Danio rerio: one gene and its partner. The protein of the gene in region 2 interacts with the protein of the main gene of each other region in a pairwise test. Links are inferred from orthologs where the notes say so. Each region holds a gene or a part of one and is shown on either strand. Other genes may lie near its edges.

What was found. The genes of interacting proteins can lie anywhere in the genome.
Region 1: the proteins of eaf1 (region 2) and stac3 interact in binary tests that used the Homo sapiens proteins (3 or more experiments, as listed by UniProt). The two-hybrid records come from large-scale screens. The link is inferred for Danio rerio from reciprocal best matches to the Homo sapiens genes EAF1 and STAC3.

Annotation. Positions count from the first base shown.
Region 1 is NC_133184.1:263,208-268,133, forward strand, and holds the start of stac3 (SH3 and cysteine-rich domain-containing protein 3), read left to right. Parts: upstream 1-1,452; 5' UTR 1,453-1,600; intron 1,601-3,843; exon of another isoform or gene 3,844-3,935; 5' UTR 3,936-3,979; coding exon 3,980-3,996; intron 3,997-4,075; coding exon 4,076-4,154; intron 4,155-4,619; coding exon 4,620-4,776; intron 4,777-4,926. UniProt on the Homo sapiens protein: Required for normal excitation-contraction coupling in skeletal muscle and for normal muscle contraction in response to membrane depolarization. Required for normal Ca(2+) release from the sarcplasmic reticulum, which ultimately leads to muscle contraction.
Region 2 is NC_133191.1:7,227,666-7,232,780, forward strand, and holds the start of eaf1 (ELL-associated factor 1), read left to right. Parts: upstream 1-2,055; 5' UTR 2,056-2,126; coding exon 2,127-2,229; intron 2,230-5,023; coding exon 5,024-5,115. UniProt on the Homo sapiens protein: Acts as a transcriptional transactivator of ELL and ELL2 elongation activities.

The DNA of each region.
Region 1 (4,926 bases), on a different chromosome or scaffold from region 2:
CAAAGAAGGAATTCGATTGGTAACATGTTTTCATTCATTAACAGTGCTCGTTTGTGAACGATTTTGTTGATACTGTGTAATATATATATATATATATATATATATATATATATATATATATATATATATATATATATATATATATATATATATATATATATATATATAATCACATAATCATCATCATTATACATAAAAACCCAGAAAGATTTGTACACCTGAAATATATTACTGACCTATTTCTGGTATATTGTTGTTTTGATTACTCATATTGCTCTCATTTTCAGTTGCTTTGAATAAACGTGTTTGCCAAATGCTTATTGAATGTATGAATTGTATGTGGCTGTTGTGGAATAAAGCTGTAACAGCTGCCACAAGCCCCTGAACATTGGCGTAAATAAGCTTTTAATAAGCTAAATCCTATTTTCTGGCACTTGAGCCAGAGAGTCACAGTAATAGATGAGATGTGCTACTGTATGAATATGTCATTTTTGTTTTTTGAGATATGATGAAAGCTGGAAAATGAAGCTCATGTTCTCAATCTTTTGTTTAGTATATCCATTATTGTAAATTTAGCAATCAGTGTAGCAATTAGTGTCCTGGGTCTGCCCCGAGGCCTATAGGTAGGCGTTCAGGAGGCTTCTGAAACAGATGCCCGAGCCACCTCAGCTGACTTCTCTGGATGTGGAGGAGCAGCGGCTCTACTCTGAGCTCCTCCCAGGTGACAGAGCTCCTCACCCTATCCATAAGGTTCATTCCGCTGTGGCGACCTCTAAGCTGAAGGAAAATGAATGAATAAATTAATATATTTCCTGTGATTGGTCTGTACATGTTTGGAGGACCCCAAGGAACCTAACACATTTTTTTTCCCCAGGGCCAGCCCGAACACCAGCCGGTGACCCACTCACACCTGCGGCTTCTCCAGGATGGACGTCCAGCGTTCTCCAGCCTCAATTGGTCAACTGGTGAAGTTCCTCCTCTGTCGCCACTGTCCTGCTTGGTTTGGGACTTGTGGAGATGCACATGGATGGATTTGCTCTTCAGTGTTTGGACTCTCAGCAGTGAAGATTCAACCACACTGAACTGAACTGAGCTCTGAACACTGGACTGACACGGCTTCAGTTCACTAGAACTTCTGTGTTCAGCTGCTGCCACACAATCTACACTGTAGAAGAGCTGGAGTTTTATTCACTTGGCTAGAAAGTGCTTCTTCATTAATGAATTAATTAAATATATTTATTACTGTGTGACATTAGAGAAGTCATAATGTTTAGTAAAAAGGTGCTGTTCAGCTGCAGGCCTGCTGTGAGTGTGTGAAGGTCTGCATGTGTGCCTGTCTGTCAGAGGGACAGATATACAGAGAGACTCGTATTACTCTCCGTCATCTAACACCTGCTGAAAACACTCACAGTGACACACACACACACACACACACACACACACACACACACAAAGTGTTCAATCCTCAGTTCAGAGCAGTCTGGTTATTACTGAGTTAAGATTATCTTCTGTGCTGAAGCAAATATTAACTTATCTGTATCAGGGTCACACCTCACTGACTGAAAACTGGGATTATAGCACAGAAACACATCATCTACAGGTGTGTATGCTTGAACTTGCTTGTTCTGATGGCATGATTTAGTGGTTGTGTGCATTTAAATCTTTTCTATGTATAGTCTAGAAAACGTTTCTGATTTGTTCCTGTAGCTCAGTTTAGTGAGAGATCCTGAATTTGTTGGCCTCAAAAAAAGTTTCCAACTCAGATATAGAAGTTGTGTGTGTGGATTTGAGGATTTCATCATGCTCTCATGTGTACAAATTAACTGTGAAACCTTTTTGTGTTCATTTATTCCATAATAAACAGGTGTATGTAGGGTGTGACATGATCATTGCACTGCATTCGCCACCCTGAAATTACTTTATTTTCAATAAGAGAACCAGAAATCTGTCTCAACACGGAGTGGACATCCTCAGATTCCCAATTTCGCACTGCAAGGTCAACATTAGAAACACCCAGTGGTGGAAAGAGTACAGTAAAATCATGCTTAAGTACAAGCACATACTTGCCTAAAACTGTAGTGCAGTAGAGTAAAAGTGTCTGCTGTAAATATTACTCAGTATAGCTTTCAAACGTACTCAAGAGTAGGGAGTATTACACTGTGAAAAGCTGATGCGTTTACATGTAACTTGCACATGTGTGTGTGTAAACGTAAGATTCTGTAGTGCATCTAGTGATTGCCCAGCAGGTACACAATGTCATAAGACGTTAATATTAGGTTAGATTTAAGTTGTGATGTCGGGAAACCAAAATTCAGTTTCTAACCAGTGCAAATCAAATGACGTTGATATTTGGTTGATTTTAGGTTTTTAGAAAGTGACCAAAATCTAATGTCGCGCCAACACCTTAAACCAACATCACATTGACGTCACATACTGATATTATTTCATCAGGTATGGCAACCGAAATCCAACATCTGATAGACGTCATAGTGGTAACGTCCACACAACGTCAAGCTGTAACATCATTAGACGTTGATTTTAGGTTGATTTCAGGTTTAACGTTAGACATTGACGTTGGCCTGACATTGAGTTCTGACGTCAAACTGATTTTCACTTCCAAACAAAATGCACTGTCTCCAAGATGTTAGTGTACAAGGTCAATCTGACGTCATGTTGACGTCTTGTGCCTGCTGGCTGTTTAAGGCCATTTGGCTCATCATATAGTAAACATTTGCCATCTTCTCATCAGTGATGTGCATCTAAACAGTCTCTGGGTCAGTGAGTGTGAAGATTGTGGACATCTTCTTTTATGCACTTTAAATGCTTCTAAACAGTTTGCTGCAATTATAAATCATCTTGAGGTAGTTCATTATGAGGTGACTTACCTTCAGTGTGTGATTTGATCAGACAGGAACCACAGGACTGATCTCTCTAATCTCCATAGACAAGAAAAAATACAGTAGTGACTGCAGGATGAAGGAAATTAGTGGAGTAAAAGTACAGATACTGCAGTAAACGTACTCAAGGGAAAGTAAAAGCCCACATTTATAAAACTGCTCTCTAAATTACAATTCCTGAGAAAACTACTTTGTTACAGTAAATTGAGTATTTGTAATTAGTTACTTTACACCACTGGAAACACCTAATCACAGCGGCTAATATGTCAGTGATCATAGCACTTTACAAACATGTGTTTACAAGTCAGAATCTAATAATTATGATGATTTGTCAAGAGAGATATGAATACTCAGACCACTTCAGGAGGTGTTCTGATGTGCATGAGAGATGTGCTCTCGTTTAAAACCACATATTATGCGCACATGACGATCCACATTTCTTACAGGATGCTCCACTGACCTGTGGGGTTCCCCAGGGCTCTATTTTGGCCCCGTTGTTATTTTCCATTTGCATGCTCCCTCTCTGATCTATTTTGAGAAAATGTGGGCATCGTTGCAGGAATTACACACCGGTTTACTTCCCAGCACACAATTTAGTTTTTAATAGACGTTTAATAGACATCTAAGCATAAACAGCTTGGCTAAAACAAGACTAAACTTGGGCTGTCAGTGAAAATCTAATAGACATCTAAGAATAGCCCAAAACTAGACTATAGTCGTCAAGTGGACAGATTAGACAGACTCTATATGTGTAGTCCTTCATTTCTGTTTATTTGATGGCTAGTCTAGTTTTAACCTATGGACGTCTATTAGATGTTCAGCCCAAGTTTATCCTTGTTTGAGCTGAGATGACATTGTTTGGACGTCTATCAGACATCTATTAGACATCTTTTAAAAACAAAAAATGCTTGCTGGGTTGCTAGTGGTTAATGTAAACGCTTTTCAGAATCAGACAGATATCTGATCAGAGTAAACGCATGAAGAGAGCAGGTGTACACAAGCTGGAGTTTTCTTGAAGCTGGTGAGTGTCTCCTGCAGGTGCGGATTTCTGCTGACTGACTGCGTCTGAAGAGGCTGGACTGATGGCTCAATATGACCAGTGAGTGTTTGACAGATTAAACAGTCTTTCAGGAGCATTATATAAGATTACAGCTATCCTAATGCTCAATGTGTTCCAGACTGGAGGATAAAGACTCGCTGGACATCCACGATAACCCTCCAGCGCCAGAGAATGTGGTGAAAGAGGACGACAACACTGTACGTATGATCACCTTCTCTTATTAGCTCTCATTCAACACACATTTGTAAATACAGGAGTGAATTATTTGTGTAGCACAAAGCTTCCTGAAAACCCTATTCACAAACACTTGTCAGAACTGAGATATATTTAAATATGAACTGTTGTTTAACTTATTAAACTAAATTAATTAATAAATAAAGGGTGTGTGCTCCCTCATTCATAATCTGCATAAACCCACCTATGCCGGAAATCAAAATGCTCTGCCATCACTTTTGATTTGATTAAATATTAGTCATTTTTAAGCCTTGTTAAATTGAACTTTAGCTACTGTTTTTGCATTCACTAACATTAACTAATGGACTATTATTGAGTAGTGTTTTCAACGTTAGTTCTGCTGGGGCTTCATAAATGAGACCTGCAGTGTGTACGGTGAGCACACAGCCGACTCGGTCATCCTCTCAGGTGTATTTTCTCATCCTCAGGTGTATTTTGTGTATGATGAAGAGGTGGAGGAAGAAGAAGCTCCTCCGCCACCCACCCCGGAGCCCATAGTCCAGGTCAACGACAAACCACACAAATTCAAGGACCACTACTGCAAGAAACCCAAGTTCTGTGACGTCTGCGCACGGATGATTGTTCGTAAGTTCACATTGATAGCAAGTTACAATAACAGCACACATATTGTCTCAACCCTTTGCCTCATATGTTTGCATTGTTAAGGTAAACTGTTCTTGCCAAAATGAATGATCAGATACACACATAAGTTGCAGAAGAAACTCTACGATATGA
Region 2 (5,115 bases):
AGAGGGCGCCACAGCGGAATGAACCACCATAAACAAAATATATTGCTGCATTTTATTCAAACAGTAAAATAAATAATATGTTTATAGTCATTTTTTTGTGTTAATTACAATTTTATTCATTGTTCTTATCACTTGTTAATTGTAGTGTACACTACCTGACAAAAGTCTTGTCGCCTGTCCAAGTTTTAGGAACAACAAATAATAACTTGATCTATAGTTGATCACTTGGTATAGAAAGTGGCTTATATGAAAGGCAAAGGCGTCTAGATTATGATTATTTTAGCAAAATAAAATATGATCATGCCTTGATTTTTAATTATTTAATTAAGGTCTGACTTTGCTTAGACAAAAGTCTTGTCATTAACAGAAATAATGTCCAGTATAGAATATTAAGTCATGCTGCAGTGGAAAATAATGAATATTGTGTATGACTCCATCATGAGCTTGGAGGACTATTAATAAAGTCATCTGGAATGGCAAAGAACGCGTTCTTGCAGGACTCCCAGAGATCATCATGATTGCTTTGGATTCATCTTCAGGACTTCCTCCATCTTCATCCCCAGACATGCTCAATAATGTTCAGTTCTGGTAACTTGGCTGGTCAATCCTGGAGCACCTTGACCTTGCTTACTTTTAGGAACTTTGACGTGAAGGCTGAAGTATGAGAAGAAGCGCTATCCTGCTGAAGAATTTGCCCTCTCCTGTGGTTTTTAATGTAATGTACAGCACAAATGTCTTGATACCTCAGGTTGTTGATGTTGCCATCCACTGCAAATCTCTTGCACGCCCCTATACTGAATGTAACCCCAAACCATGATTTTTCCTTCACCGAACTTGACTGATTTCTCTGACAATCTTTGATCCATGCTGTTTGCAATAGATATTCTGCAGCATTTTTGATGATTTAAATGCAGATCAACAGATGATTCATCTAAAAAAAAATAAAATAATAATCTACCTTCTGCCACTTCTCCAAATGATCAACTAGAAGTGAGGTATTATTTGTTGCTCTTACAACTGGGCTCGACGACAGGACTGTCAGGTAGTCAGTGTACTTTATTTTGCACCACGAACGTGAGTTATTTCAGTTAGGTTGCAGAAGTGTAACTTACCTTTGCGTACTGCTCCTTGAGGGGTGCAGACAGTCTGAGAATACAGCACATCTCTGCAGTCAGTCTGAAATATAAAATAAAAGCATCTTTATTACCGAGTTTAATCTGTTCACGCGACAGGGCTATAGAGAACTAGAGAACTTACCTTTTCTGTATTAAATCTGTCACATAGTCCTTTCCTGACTTTCGCTTCCCACTGAATAACAGAATGATGCTAGGTTGTGTAGTTGCCATGGTTGTAATTACATGTGATGTGTACTTCATACTCGTGTACACAACTGACACATGTCGAGGACTACAGCCTTCAATATGAATCAGGAACCGCTTTATGTCGCTTTACCGTAACTACCAAAAAAATGTAACCTAAAAATAATATAAGCGTCTTTGGTTCTTCTGTTTGCTTAACTATTTTCTTTATTTGTGTTACTTTAAAACTTTATTGGCGTATGCGATGTTTTTTCTGTCATCTAAAAGGATATCTAAGTGAAATGTGGAAGTGTGGAAACAGGATGTTTGGTGTTTTTGTGTAGCTACGGTAATCGGACGAGTGTCACGCCATCAACTTACTGGGTATGTGCTAAATATATTTACATTTCATGTAAATAAGTTACCAGAGTGTTTTTAATTTATGCAGATATTTAAATAGTATCAGAAAAAGTTCAATAAAATAATAATCTTACATTGTTTACGTATTTATAAACACTTTTTTTCACTGACCCGGAAGTGAAACCACAAAAACGTTTGTTTCTGTATTTCATTCTTATTTGTTATTCCCCAAGTGCGGTTTATAAAGGAAATTATTTTTTAAGTGATAAAACTTGTATTTTTAAAAGTAAAATAAACCAAACATCTAAGGTGAATGCGTTATTTTTGGTTTCTGTGACCCGGAAGTTTTGAATCTGTCAGGATTGTTTTGCTTTTAGCGTCTTCTCCTTTTGTCTTTGTTTACATGTGGATAAACCGAGGATTTTTTCATTTTGGGTGAAGTTGGTGAATTCAATGTGACGCGCAGTGATGAACGGCAGCTCGAACCCGCCGCTGGATAAAGAAGAGCATGTGTTGAAGCTCGGGGACAGTTTTGAGAAGAGACCAAAATCATCCTTTCACACCATCAGATGTGAGTCCATCAAGAGAGACATAACATGCGTTATTCAAAGTATATCCCAACTAGAAATTTTCAGTTCTCTACATGCTCTAAGCATATTACCAAGCAATGTTGCATTACTGTTTTCCGCGGGTAGTTTTGTTTTAGTTCCCAGAACATTCTCTTAAAACAGTGCTCACCAAACTTGTTTCTGGAGGGCCGGTGTCCAGCAGATTTTAGCTCCAACCCTAATCAAACACACCTGAACAAGCTAATCAAGGTCTAACTAGGTATACTTGAAACATCCAGGCAGGTATGTTGAGGCAAGATGGAGCTAAACCCTGCAGGGACACCGGCCCTCCAGGACCAGGATTGGTGACCCCTGTCTTAAAAGATAGGAAAACATTTTCTATAATAATATTAACCACATTCGCACACCTTCAAATCTAATACTTCTTTGCTAAAAGGAAATAGGCCAATAAACCACTTTTTATAGCAATACGTTTATTAAAAAAAAAGTTATATTATCAAATATTCATCTTAAAAAATATTTTTTGTTTTAGTAATGTAATTTATTCAGCCAGGATTTAGTGAACTCACAATATTTTGTAAAAAACAGAGAAATTATTTCAGTTCTTATATATATAAAAAGGCCTAAATAGATGCAAGGTCATTCAAATATTTTGCTCTTCTCTGACTAACACACAGGTGTCAAACTCAGTTCCAAAAAGGCCGCAGCTCTGCACAGTTTAGTTCCAACCCTAATTCAACACACCTGATCAAACTAATTGAGTCCTTCAGGCTTGTTTGAAACCTACAGGTAAGAGTGTTGGAGCAGGGTTGGAACTAAACTGTGCAGGGCTTCGGCCCTCCAGGAATTGAGTTTGACACCCCTGGACTAACACAAATACTTGCGACTGGTTCATGAGATCAGTCAGGGGTGCGTTTCCCAAACAATGACGTAACTCGCGGCTTCATCATGTGATGCATAGTTTGGGAAAAGAACAATTGAATGTAGTGACGAGTGTTTCCCAAAACCCATAGTTTCTCTGTCACAGATCCATCGTTTGAACCATGGTATTAATAACGTAAAATGCCCATAATGATGCTGTAAATGGCGTAGAGTAACTACTTCTTTAGAGAAAAACCCATCATTTCTTTGTGCAAATTATTTTGTTTTACACAAACACGCATTTAAAAAAAATCCAATATTAGGTTAGGTAAAAACATGCACTTGTTTTCCATAGTAACTTAAATATATGTAAATTGAACATACAGGGCATGTGATTCCTTTACAAATATTATTAAGAACATTACATATTCTATTGTAAGACATAAAACCACTTAAAAAAGCGAAAATGCATTTTGATATCATATATAAATAAATAAATAAATAAATAAATAAATAAATAAATAAATAAATAATGAGGCTATTTATTGAGAAATGAAATTTTATATTCATTATGTATTAAAAAAATATACCACTTTAATAAAATTAATGATAATGACAATTATTATTATTATTAATAAGTAGGATATTGTTTGCTTATTTATTTAAAATTTTTTGAAAAGTCTACTTTTACAATTTGACATGAGAACCACAACAGAAATGTGCTAATCAACAGGCCCTTGTCATATACAGTACAGATACTTAATAAATTACCCACTATAAATTAAAATCTTTAACGCATGCTGTGTTTTTTGTTTTCACAAGCTTTGGAGACGTAACATAAATTCTGCTTTTAAATAATAGGTCACCTATAGCTTTAGTCATGAGCCGCGGCTGTGTTCAAAATGACATCAATGTTTTCAAAGTGCACTGCGGAGGGACACAATTGTCAATTTGAAAATTTTTAATACTGTGTTCACACCAGACGCGGAATGCGCGTCAAGCGCGAGTGATTAACATGTTAACATTCGCGCCGCGTTAACCAATCAGGAGCTTGCCTTGTGGGGGCGTGATTGTGACGTATCTCCTGTTGTAGGTGTCCCGGGGCTGTTTTTCAGCCTTCATAAACACATAAACACTGTTATTTTCTTCATAAAATCCATGTTAGCCATTTAGCAACAAAGCTACAGTCACCGGGCAGACAGAAGCCCTGCCTATCACGCGAATACGCGTCTGTTCTGAAGTGAATTTGACGTGCGAATGAAGTGGGGTTTGACGCTCGAATGAAGCCAGTAAACTCAAATGTTCACGCGGCTATTTACGTGCGAATAGCGCGATTTATCCGCGCGTTCCGCATCTGGTGTGAACGCAGCATACTGAACTGAAAAAATAGTTTGAAAGCAAATTATACCTAAGAGGAATGAGCTTAATGCTTTTTTAGTCATTCCAATTTTAAATATTAGAATGTTTTAAATGAAATGGGCATAGGGGGGATAGCTGGGAATAGCACACAGCCAGGAACTATGTTTCTAACTACAGCTCCAGAGGTGTAGTTGCAAGCATACAAGTTTACAACGCAGTTTGCGAATGTTTGTTGGAACGATGGATTTGGGAAACGGCTAATCATTGAAGTATGTTTGTAACGACTTTAGTTGGCTAACAATGATTTTCGGAAACGCACCCCTGATCAGCAAGTACCGATCGAGTCATTAAATGTGATTATCAGCCAATCGAAGCCCCCTACCTAAAACCAAGGCATAATTATAGAATTTAGTTTGTGAGAATGAAAACAGGCACAAAAAATTGTAGTAATGAAATGCATTGATTTTATTATTTTAGTAAAGATACATTTATTTCAATTAAATAAATAAAAAGAGAATGAAAAACTAGCTTCATTGTCGTACTGTACGTTTACAATTGTGTGCTATTCCTCCACAGATGATTTTAAACCAGCGTCTATCGATACGTCCTGTGAAGGAGATTTACAAGTGGGAAAAGGAGATGAGGTTACCATCACTTTACCACACATA